3 linked regions of the Canis lupus familiaris genome follow. The protein of the gene in region 1 purifies or fractionates together with the protein of each later gene. This does not show direct contact. Links are inferred from orthologs where the notes say so. Each region holds a gene or a part of one and is shown on either strand. Other genes may lie near its edges. The genes, in order: COPS7A, DCAF11 and COPS8.

Region 1 (3,747 bases):
AGCTTGAAGAGACATGAGTTCCAGGCAAATCTCTAACTTTATTTTTTTTTATAGGTGTTCAATTTGAAATCTCTAACTTTTTTTTTAAGATTTTATTTATTCATAGAGACACAGAGATAGAGGCAGAGACACAGGCAGAGGGAGAAGCAGGCTCCATGCAGGGAGCCGGATGTGGGACTCAATTCCGGGACTCTAGGATCACGCCCTGAGCCAAAGGCAGACGCTCAACCACTGAGCCACCCAGGCATCCCGAAATCTCTAAATTTTTATGAGCATCAATTTCCTTATCTATAAAGTTAAAGTAATAACAGATACCTTCCTTACACCTAGGGGTTTTTCGTCTCGCAGGAATGAAAAGACTCGATGCGCACGAAAGCCTCACTCTACAAGTACTCCCGGAGTCACACTGGGGATGCAGTATAGTTACGAGGATTCAACGGGATGCAATTTTAAAAGATGCCTCACCAATAGTAAGCAATGTTACTACAATGTCAGTGTTACCTATTATTACTTCCTGTACTTTTCCCACTACTTTCCTCTTGCTCCTCAAAAAAAAAGGAGTGGTTAAAATAGCCAGGGAGGGGGATCCCTGGGTGGCGCAGCGGTTTAGCGCCTGCCTTTGGCCCAGGGCGCGATCCTGGAGACCCAGGATCGAATCCCACGTCGGGCTCCCGGTGCATGGAGCTTGCTTCTCCCTCTGCCTGTGTCTCTGCCTCCCTCTTTCTCTCTGTGTGACTATCATAAATAAATAAAAAATTTTTAAAAAAAATAAAAATAAAAAAAAAAATAAAATAGCCAGGGGATCCCTGCTGCGAAACTTCTACTATTCTTGTCTTCTTCCTGTCTCTCATTTCCCTCCCTCCCTTTTTTCCTTCTCCAGGCCGCTCTTTCTCATTACAGCTTTCCTGCCGCCTCCAGCGCCCTGTGCAGCCCGATCTCCAGGTTTCAAGCAGCTTTGAACAGACACTTAACCACCCGGTACCTGCTGCAGACAAGGGGCTCCCTTCGCATTTACCATCTAGCGCTCGTCGGACAATAAAGTTTTATTGAAACAAAGCAGGAAAAAAAAAAGACGCCGTCCTTCTTCCTCAACAGCCAATCAGAGAGTAGAATGACTGGCGCTCGCCGGAGCTTCAGCCGTCGGAAGGCGGGGGAGGGGCCTGGCCTCGCCAGAGCGGAAGTACGAGCCGGAAGCCCGCCATAGAGTGTAGTGGCCAGAGCGACTCTGCGGGGAGGTGGCAGGAAAGGCTTGGAACAGCTGCCGGAGGTGACGGAGTGGCTGCCCCGCCCGGTGTGCTGGAAGACGAAGCTTCCAGGTAGCGGCCCGCAGAGTCTGACCCAGGGTACGACGGGGCAGTCGGCGTGAGCCCGCGGTCCCTGGGCGGCCTCTTTAAGGGAGGGGGCGGAGCCACGTGGAAGGATCGTGAGGGTGAGGTCACGTGGTTGGGGGTACTTGTGCGGCACCGTGGAAATTTGAGGGAGCGTTGTTGTTAGGGTGGACGCCATGTGACACCCCTTCCCCCACCGCATCCTATGCCTTGGGGTTCAGTGGGGTGCACGTGGTGGGCCTTGGGATCAGGCCCAGGGATGGGGGAGGGGGCCTGGCAACTCTGTCTCAGCCAGGCGTCCGTCAAAGTGGCCGGTTTTCGGATTTCTAGAACCGAGTTTTAGACAGCCCCATCTCTCGTTCTTCATTTGTAGATGTGACTCAGTGCCTCTGCAGTCCAGCCCCTGGCCCCTGTGCTTCCCGCCCTCCCAGGGTTCAGGGACTTCCAGCTTCACATTCTCTCTCCTTGCAGCTCCAGATATCCTGAGCCCAGGCCCTCCCAGCTCAGTGCAGCCATGAGTGCCGAGGTGAAGGTGACAGGGCAGAACCAGGAGCAATTTCTGCTCTTGGCCAAGTCGGCCAAGGGGGCAGCGCTGGCCACACTCATCCACCAGGTGCTGGAGGCTCCTGGTGTCTACGTGTTTGGGGAACTGCTGGATATGCCTAATGTTAGAGAGGTGGGTTCCTGGCCTAGAAGGCACACATGGAAGCTTGGGACTAAGTCTGAATTTGAGAATGGGTGGGCAGGGCTCATTTGCAACCGCATAACCATTCGGTTGAACAGGAATATGGTGATGATTAATTAGCAGCTGGCAAAATAAGTAGGCAAGTAAACCTCTCACTTTCCTTTGCTGATGAATCATCTGTAAAACCCACTGTTTTTCATTTTTAAGCCAAAGAGTGATTCAGAAAAGGAGACCTAATTCCATCCTGTCTCCTCCAATGTAGTACCTCTTAGTAAGATCATGTTGCCTTGATCAGGTCACTTTTACTTTAAGACCTCCGTTTAAAATTGAAACTGATACTGCCCCTCAGTGTCAATTATAGGAATCAGGTCAGATTATGGGAAGTGTAGAATCTGGTACAATTGGGAGGAATGAACATGAAATTGGCAGCCCCTCCTCTCCTCACTTTGTACCCTTTGTTCATTCACTTAAGTTAGATAAGTGCCTAGAAGTGTTAGAAGGTGGCTTTCTCCCCGAGACATGTGGCAAGATGCTAGGGACACAGCAGAGAGAACTGTTCACATAGAGTTAAGAGTTTAAAGTCTAGGGGGTGCTGGATCACCAAGATGTGTGACATCAGCTCAAGTCCTGAGGTGCTATGGCATTGATATGCAGGCAAACTGTGTTAGCTTTTTGAGAGCCAGTAATTGATGGAGTCAATGGATTTAGCCTTCAGGAGTCACTGGTATATGGAGAAAACTCTGGCTGCCTTCTTTCCCTACGCTTTCTTCTACAGTGGAACTAAAGAGGGTCCGTTAAGGTGAAAAAAACAAGCATTTGTTGAGTGCTTGTTTATCTCTGCGGGTCATCTGGGAATACCAGAAAAGTGTAAGACACAGTGCTTATTATCCTCCTAAAACTTATATTCCAGTTGCAGAGATAAGATGAATGGATATGGCCATGTAAATTACTCATTTAGCAAGTATTTTCTGAGAGCCAAATAGCTCTGCAGACCTGAATAGCTCTGCAGACCTAACTGGGTGGGATACCAGGGCCTGGAGCTGTTATCATATTGGAAAGAAAGATATTCTTCGGTAACAGCCTAAGGGTTTGATCGATTAAGTGCCAGAATGAGTGATCAGTGATTGGAGAGGAGATCTGAGTGGGCTGGCCTGGATGATGAAAGCCTCCTGGGTGCTGCAGGTCTGACGTAGAGGCCATGCAGCTCTCAGAGATGCATGAGGGTAACGCAGGAGTGTTTGGTGAATTGGGAGGTACGGCAGACTGCCTACTCAGATTCAGAAATATTAAACATGCTCTAAGGACCAAAATGCAGTTTACAATGTCTGAGTGCGTGTGTGTGTGTGTACATGCATGTGCGCTCACTACCAAACACTCTGAATGTGCTCAGTTCTGAATTTGGGGTAAGAATGAAGACGTACGGAGAAAGAGGGCATGGTGGATTGGGGGGAGTAGTGTAGACAAGGGCCTGGAGGTGGCAATGAGGCCTTCGTATAGGGAGAGCCATCAGAGAGGCAGAGAAGTCCGGGGGGGGTTGGGGGCTGGGAGAGCTGATGGGAGAAGGGAGAGATGGGGCCAGAAAGTGGAATTGAAAACAGAATGAGGCTAGGGAACTGGAGAGACGCCTGTCCTGTCACCTCTTCCTTTGTATTTTTGCAGCTAGCTGAGAGTGATTTCGCTTCCACATTCCGGCTACTCACTGTGTTCGCCTATGGGACATATGCTGATTACTTA
Region 2 (3,747 bases), on another chromosome or scaffold:
CCCATGGCATACAAGTTTTTGTGAGGTGTGTGTGTTTTAATGATTTCAGATTTTCCAGTCCGGATAACCCAGAAACCACAGAATCCTAAGGCCTCAGTAAATGTCACAGGGAAACTAATAGTAAGTTACCTGACAATGAGAGGTGGGTAACGGGCAGAACCGACTACATACATAACCCGTAGAGCCCAGAGCAAGATGAAAATGCGGAGTGCTTGTTCAAAAATTAAGAATTTGGTGGGATCCCTGGGTGGCGCAGCGGTTTAGCGCCTGCCTGCCTTTGGCCCAGGGCGCACGCCGGGCTCCCTGCATGGAGCCTGCTTCTCCCTCTGCCTGTGTCTCTGCCTCTCTCTCTCTCTCTCTGTGTGACTATCATAAGTAAATTTTTTAAAAATAAAAAAAAAAATTAAGAATTTGGGACACCTGGTGGCTCTGGGGTTAAGCGTCTGCCCTGGGCTCAGGGCGTGATCTTGGGGTCTCTGATCGAGTCCCACATCGGGCTCCCTGCATGGAGCCTGCTTCTCCCTCTGCCTGTGTCTCTGCCTCTTTGCCTCTCTCTCATGAGTAAATAAAATCTTAAAAAAAAAAAAAAAACTTTTTAAATTAAGAATAAGACGGCGATAGCAGGACATTAAACCAAGCACGGGGCCCTTGGAAGCGTAGAGCCCAGTACCGATCGCACGCCCATATGTGGCCGCTCTAGTGATCAGAGATGATAAGCTCGGCTCTACCTGTCTGGAGGCCAAGAAGCGCCCGGGTCTGACCACACCCTCGCCCTCCTAGGGACACTGAGAGGCAGGGGGGCCCAGGGGCAGCTAAGAGCCCTCGCACCCATCCCTGAGCTCGGGGAGGCCCTAGGTGAGCTCGCAACACTTCCCAGAGAATGCGGACTGCCGTGCAGCTAGGAACCAGGGCCTTTGCACTCGGCGCCGCGAGGTCACTCGACCTCCTGCCTGGGAGAGGATCCCGAGACGTGGCACGTCCGGGCCTTGGGCTCAGTGGGTTACTCATCAACCCAGAGGAGGGGAAGGAGGCGGCTCTCAGGCACTCCCCGGACTAGGCGCCCGGGCCGGGAGGCCAGCCGAAGACCGACGATCTAGGGAAGGTCTGCAAATCCCGGAGAGCCGAGGAGAGTCTGAGGGAAACAGACTGAACCGGAAAGGCCCCTAGAGACCCTGGCTAGTATTAGGGAGCGTCTGCAAAGACCGCGGAGAAAAGCCAGGGATCGTCTAAAAAGTGGCCAAAGCAGCTAAGGGCTGGTCTAGAAAGGGCGGTCCCCACAAAACAAGGCTCCCGGATCCCGGAAGAGAGGGTATGGAGGCCCGGATCTCCCTCTGTGACGTAAGCACACCCCAAAGGCACTGGCCACCCCTTAGAGCAAAGCCGAATGAAGCTGCAGCCAACAAAAAAAAGGAAGGCTGAAGCCGGGGTGGGGGCGGCGAGTGAGGAGAAAGGGAGGCCCTGAGAGATCGCCTGGAAATTGTGAAGCCAAAAGAACGTCAGGGGCCGACAGCAAATTGTATCTTTCGCTAAAGACACCTCCAGGTAGCGAAGCACCGACTTCTTAAGCCCCGCCCGTCACCCGTTAAGCGTAGTTCCGCCGTCTCTCAGGAAGCAGCCGTTCCCCACTTACTCCTCCCAACCCCGAGCGACCGCCCTCCTCGGTGGCGCGCTCTCCTCCCCCCCCGCAGCGCTCGCCCACTTTCTCCCGCCCATCCAGCAGTCGCCGCGCTCCGCCGTCCAGTTAGCGGGCCAAGGGGGCGGGGCCGACAGGGGCGACGCGTGACGTGTGCAGCCGCCGGCCGGGCAGCCGGGAGATGCGTGACGAAGGAGGCGCGTGACGGAGAGCGGTTGGCCGGGCTGCGGCCTCAGTCGGTGTAAACAAGGCCTCGAGCCGCTGCGGGTCCTGCGACCGCTCCTGGCTGGTGGGTGGTCTCGCGCGGGGCAGGAACCCGGCTCCAGTGGGAGGGGCTTCTCGGCTTCCTCCCTGCCTCCCCCACTTGGCGTACACACCCCCGGCACACCACGTGGGCGTGAGGCGAGAAAGGAGGGGGTGTTAAGTCGAATTCGAACCTTATTGGTTGTCGATGCTGCCGGCTTTTGCAACGGAGCGCTCTGATTGGTTCCTAAGGGGGGCGTCGGGGGGTCTCAGAGCCCTAAGGCTTTTGATTGGTTAGATAAGATAAGCTAATGAGGCGCTTTCTTCCGCGAGGGGTTTTGATTGGTCGGCCAAAGAGGTTACCTGGGAATTCACCCACCCCTCCAGGGACTTTGATAGGTGAGTTTGAGGTAGAAAACTGAGAAATTCCTCTTCAAAGGATTCTCATTGGTGAGCTAGGGTAGCGCCCTAGGCTTCACTCTCTGATTTTTTTTTTTTTTTTTTTTGCTTCACAGAATTGGGGGTTTGTGTTCCTGAAGCCTTGGGAGTTGTCACAGGCTACAGAGAATCTGTCCTACAGATTTCAATCCCTAGGAAGGGTCGCCCTCCTAGAGATACCTACCGTTCTATCTCGGGAGAACCCTGGTGTTTCTAGAGCAGGCTTTGCTTTCACCGAACCTAAGGAGGTGACAGGAGGAGTCCCTGCACAGGACCTAATGATGCTGTGATCAGAAGATGGGATCACGGAACAGCAGCAGTGCAGGAACTGGGTCCGGAGACCCCTCCGAGGGCTTGCCCCGAAGAGGTGCTAGCCTGCGTCGGAGCGAGGAAGAGGAAGAGGAGGATGAAGATGTGGATCTGGCCCAGGTACTGGCCTATCTCCTCCGCAGGTAACTTACCCTCTGATGTGTCCCCACCAGGGATCACCACAGTCCCTTGATCCCAACTCCAGGCAGGGAGGTTACAAAGAATAGGAAGTGAGATTAGCCCAGACCAGCTGTTCTGTTTGAGCTTCCCTTCTGGACACTCAGGCACTGAGCTCAACACCCAATAAGAGTTGTTTTTAATTAGGGAGGGTCATGAAGACGACTTGCTTTTGTGTTTGAGGGGACTGTTGGGGAGCCTCTCTAGCTAAGACTACACAAATGGAATCCATTTTCCAAGTAAGTGAAAAATAAAATAAAAACCTTGCTATGATAGAAAAGGAGTGACGTGAAGGGTAAAGAGAAGAGCTGGGGAGGTGGGTGTTGAACTTTCGAGAAGTTGCTGACATGTGATATGAGGCCATGTGGATTTACTTGAAAAACAAGTTTAAATTAACCTAACTCTTACCCTGTTCTTGAGGAAAGAATGCTTTGAGGAAAGTGACCACCACCAGTAATTGACTGGAAAGGTGTGCCACTGGCTCCATTTCTTAGCTGTGGCTCCTTGGGGAAGAAGACAAGCTCGGGGATCCCTTCAGAATACTGTGTTCTGTGATGGACTCCTCAGGCAGAGGCTCAGAAGGAAATGCTCTCAGAATTTTTAGCTCCTTAGGAAGTCAACTTAGTAGGTGTGTCAACTTCCATGGAATGTTGGGGTTCTCTACTCCTGCTGTAAGCACGAAGATTCATTTCCTACTGTATCTTATAGGAGACTGAAAGTAACAGCCAAGGTCTGGTCAACCTCAAACTACAACATGGGAACAGTACGAGGGTTTGAGTAGCAGGTGATCTAAGAGCTGAGTAGCCATTGACTCTGAATTTGGTTGGTTTGGGGAACAGATCCTCCCTTTTATCATGGGCATCTCTCCACAGAGGCCAAGTGAGGCTGGTGCAGGGAGGAGGTGCAGCAAATTTACAACTCATCCAGGCCCTCTCGGACTCAGAGGA
Region 3 (3,747 bases), on another chromosome or scaffold:
TCAAGTAGGACATTTGTATATTGAAAAAATGGCAAACTAGAATGTATCCACAGAAACACCAGGAGAGTGAAATTTCTAGAAACTATCTCAGATGAAACAGCTGATTCAATTAAATATTTATTGAACAAATGCAGAATAAATGAAGCAGGGGGGCTTTTAACCTGAAGATACAATCAACACCTCCAAATATTCAGAGGGCATCACACAAAAACTGCAAGACTTGTTCGGTATTTCTCCAAAAGGCAGAACTTGAACCAAAGGATAAAAATAAGCAACCAGTAGGCTGCAAGACAGTTGTACAAAGTGGATCACTTATCTTAATAGCTTCCTTGCCAATATAATGCGTTCCACCCTAATATTCCCTTCTTCTGAAAGGAGTATTACATCTAATATTTCTCCTGAAGGTCTTAAATAGTTGCATTTTCATGGCAAGCCCTCCACTGCCAGCAATGGATGTACTCACACCATCAGGAAAAAATCAAAGTTAACAAACTGGTTCACTGAGGAAGTGGTCTTCTGTTCCTCAGCTACACTTCAGCATTCTGTAAGAGTGATATTCAGGAGGTGAGGAGAAAGAGAGCATATTCTCTGAAGGGGGTGCATCAGAATCCCTGGCAGCTCAGAGACTGTCTCCAGGGACAGTCCTCCTCAAACCCCAAAGGAATCACTGCAACTATCAACCATCAGTGCCGATGGGGTGTGCTGTACGCTGGGGCAGGGGCAAACAGCTGTCAACCACTGACCTACATAAAGCAGGAGAGCTGTTTTATCAGTCAGTCACTAGGAAATTAAACTGCATAATACTGACAGGCTCCATCCAAATTGTCAAATATTACAAAATGAGAATTGTTTCAACAACTATTCAGCATAATGTTTAAGGACAAAATATATAATAATATACTTTATATATGTATTTTATCACATACTCAGTAAGGAATGCTGAGGTGCTTCATCCATCCAATAAATTGAAAATAAAAATTTTACATTTCTATATCTGTCAGTATACAGGATTCTGAAGGTGGATCTTGGACTCAGAATGATACATCAGTTTTCGAGAAAAGCCACATAATCGGTCAGTCTGGCTAACTGCTGCTCATTGGGGATTGGGGGCACTGGGGCAGGCTCTGCAAGTGAAACAGAAAGAGACTAAAGTTAGACCCCATGTGACAGCACCTGGGCCCTGCCACCCACACCCTTCCAGGCCTGTCATTTATCAATAAAGAAACTTTCTTATTGATTTTGGACATTCTGAAAAACAAGCAAAGTTTCAACTTTGATGAGTTTTTCTCAACGGGGAGCAAAGGCATGTCCAGCTTTGTTGAAGTTTCCAGGTTAACAAGCAACACCTCTCTTGAGAGAGCACAGCTCTTCCTGGAAGGACATATACCCACCTGACATGATATTCAGTGAATAACCAATCACCCAGTGCTTACCGTGCCATGCAGTGCTCTAGGAGGACATTAAATTGTCAGTGAACAAAACAAAACAAAAAAACCCACAAAGACCCTATCAAGGAATTTAGTTTCAACTTTTAATTTAGCACATGTCAGCCCAGGGATGCCTTCCGAGGAAGTGCTGGTGAGAAGCCCCATCACGGCTTCCCCCCATGACACCACGGAGGCTCCGTGACTGGGCCAGAAGATGCCCTGGCCTCAAGGTGAACTACAGAGGGGAGCCCACACGTTCTCTATTATAACCAAATATATCATTATAAACAGCAAATACAGAATTTCATCTCTTCATTTACAATGTGGGAGCTAAGGAAAACAGAGACACATGACAAAAAAAAAAAGAACAATGAAATGTTTTAAATGAATATATAAACATAACGTACCTGATAAGGGAATAAACCTGTTAAAGGACACATCCAGGGCCCCTGCAACTAAGGACAATGAACAGCCCAGTTTATATGAGTCACTGTGAAGAGCTTTCACACAGAACATGTCATTTGTAATGTAATGGCATTTACTACCATTTACTTCTCAAACGGTTAACAGTTATGCTCTATATGATTACGCGGGTCTTCTCATTACAGCAGTGAGACCCGCTGGGACCGGGTCTCACCACCTCTTGAAACTTCCCAGGGCAGAGCCCACTGAAATCTGAGGAATTCCTTGCTGAGGGGTCAACACTGTCTACATGATAGGAACACGGAGCAGGTGGAAGGAACTCTGGTTGAGGGAGAGGGTGTATGGATGGCATTAAGCCCAGTTCCAAAGACCCGGCATAAAAGGGCACTCCTGCCAAGGGAGGAGAGACCTCCACGCAGGAATGAGCACGGCTCACTTCAGGAGGACTGAGGGGCTGGGAATTCAGATGGAGACAACAAGCTCAGGCCAAATAATTTAAGCCTTAAAAGGCCAAAGAACTTAATTCTGTGAAAGTTAAAGCCACTGGAAATCTTGTTTCAGAGAAGAGTCTACACGGCTATAGTACAAGGAGAAAAAGAAGATATTTTTTTAAAAAGACAATGACTTAGATATGGATAAACACACTTAGAAATGGTCCCATAAGTAAGTGGACGGGAGACTAATGCTTAGTAAGAATTAAGTTGTAATATGGATTCTGAGAAACCCATATAGTTTCTTATACAAAAAAAAAAAAAAAATTGGGGGATCCCTGGGTGGCTCAGTGGTTTAGCACCGCCTTCAGCCCAGGGTGTGATCCTGGAAACCCGGTTCTTAAAAAAAAAAAAAAAAATTTTTTTTTTAGAAATCAAGGTAAAACTAGGTGATCTTTTTTAAAATCCTTTCTGCTGCGTCTATCATTCCAGGTCTATACTTAACTGAGTTACTTTCAATTTGCTAGCACAGCAGAACCTTATTACCAAATTACTCAAATTCAATGTCTAAAAGACTGAAGTAGTCTTAGAAGAGGTCCATGGTGCATATATGGATGGAGAGCTCCACCTACCTGGCTTTTTGGGCATAACCATTCTTGTGGTAGAGTCGGCTTGCCATCCTTGTTCCAATATACCTAGAGATATGTATTTAACACACAAATGAAGCAATAACCAAAAGTTACTATAATTTTCATTTACAAGATCCACAATCTGTCAATGGCACTACTTGTATGGAGGATCTGACAAGTCCAGGTTACCCTACAATGTGTATTTTTACTAGGAAAGTTGATTATATAGATAGCATTCTCAGATGGACTTACTTTTGAAACATTTCTGAAATGTGTATCAAAGTCTCGTTTTACTCTATCAGGCTGATACAATCCCTAGCAAATGACCAGTCTTCCATAGTGTGCAATACGGTATTAATCTAGTCAATATACCGGAAACAACACTTCCATCTCTAAGGAGGATGTACATGACACTGCCTCCAGTTGCTCTATCAGTAGTAACAAAGCTGATGCCAATGACAAAACCGAGTCTTGGCCAGTAGGCACCGTCCCACAGCAATCATATCAGGTCATCACCACACAACTCTATGAAGTAGGACTCAGAACCATCACTAAACTGATGTGAAAAATGAATTTTGGAGAATCCTATGACGTGTCCTGGGTCACGCAGTTAGTATGGGGTTGGGAGGAGGGTACAGGACTCGGACCCAGGCAGTCAGTTAAGAGTAGGGCTCAGGGGTATGTTATTAGTATGTAATAAACTACAGATCAATTTCAAGATGAATCAAAACAAATGTTTATAAGCAACAGTATGATTTACTCCAGGAACTTCATTAACCTGCCTTTTATGCCTCTAAAATTGTGGTAGGCTTTGGAAACTGAGGAACAAGGTGTGGA

What was found.
Region 2: the proteins of COPS7A (region 1) and DCAF11 purify together in Homo sapiens (affinity purification with mass spectrometry; 3 studies listed by BioGRID and IntAct, counting the BioPlex papers as one, with this or other methods). This does not show direct contact. The link is inferred for Canis lupus familiaris from reciprocal best matches to the Homo sapiens genes COPS7A and DCAF11.
Region 3: the proteins of COPS7A (region 1) and COPS8 purify together in Homo sapiens (affinity purification with mass spectrometry; 11 studies listed by BioGRID and IntAct, counting the BioPlex papers as one, with this or other methods). This does not show direct contact. The link is inferred for Canis lupus familiaris from reciprocal best matches to the Homo sapiens genes COPS7A and COPS8.

Annotation. Positions count from the first base shown.
Region 1 is NC_049248.1:7,780,948-7,784,694, forward strand, and holds the start of COPS7A (COP9 signalosome complex subunit 7a), read left to right. Parts: upstream 1-1,157; 5' UTR 1,158-1,316; exon of another isoform or gene 1,317-1,429; intron 1,430-1,799; 5' UTR 1,800-1,842; coding exon 1,843-2,004; intron 2,005-3,672; coding exon 3,673-3,747.
Region 2 is NC_049229.1:4,239,458-4,243,204, forward strand, and holds the start of DCAF11 (DDB1- and CUL4-associated factor 11), read left to right. Parts: upstream 1-1,379; 5' UTR 1,380-1,542; intron 1,543-1,649; exon of another isoform or gene 1,650-1,922; intron 1,923-1,941; exon of another isoform or gene 1,942-2,275; intron 2,276-2,391; 5' UTR 2,392-2,611; coding exon 2,612-2,766; intron 2,767-3,672; coding exon 3,673-3,747. UniProt on the Homo sapiens protein: May function as a substrate receptor for CUL4-DDB1 E3 ubiquitin-protein ligase complex.
Region 3 is NC_049246.1:48,075,044-48,078,790, reverse strand, and holds the end of COPS8 (COP9 signalosome complex subunit 8), read right to left. Parts: intron 2,977-3,747; coding exon 2,914-2,976; intron 1,883-2,913; coding exon 1,835-1,882; intron 1,125-1,834; coding exon 1,045-1,124; 3' UTR 73-1,044; downstream 1-72. UniProt on the Homo sapiens protein: Component of the COP9 signalosome complex (CSN), a complex involved in various cellular and developmental processes.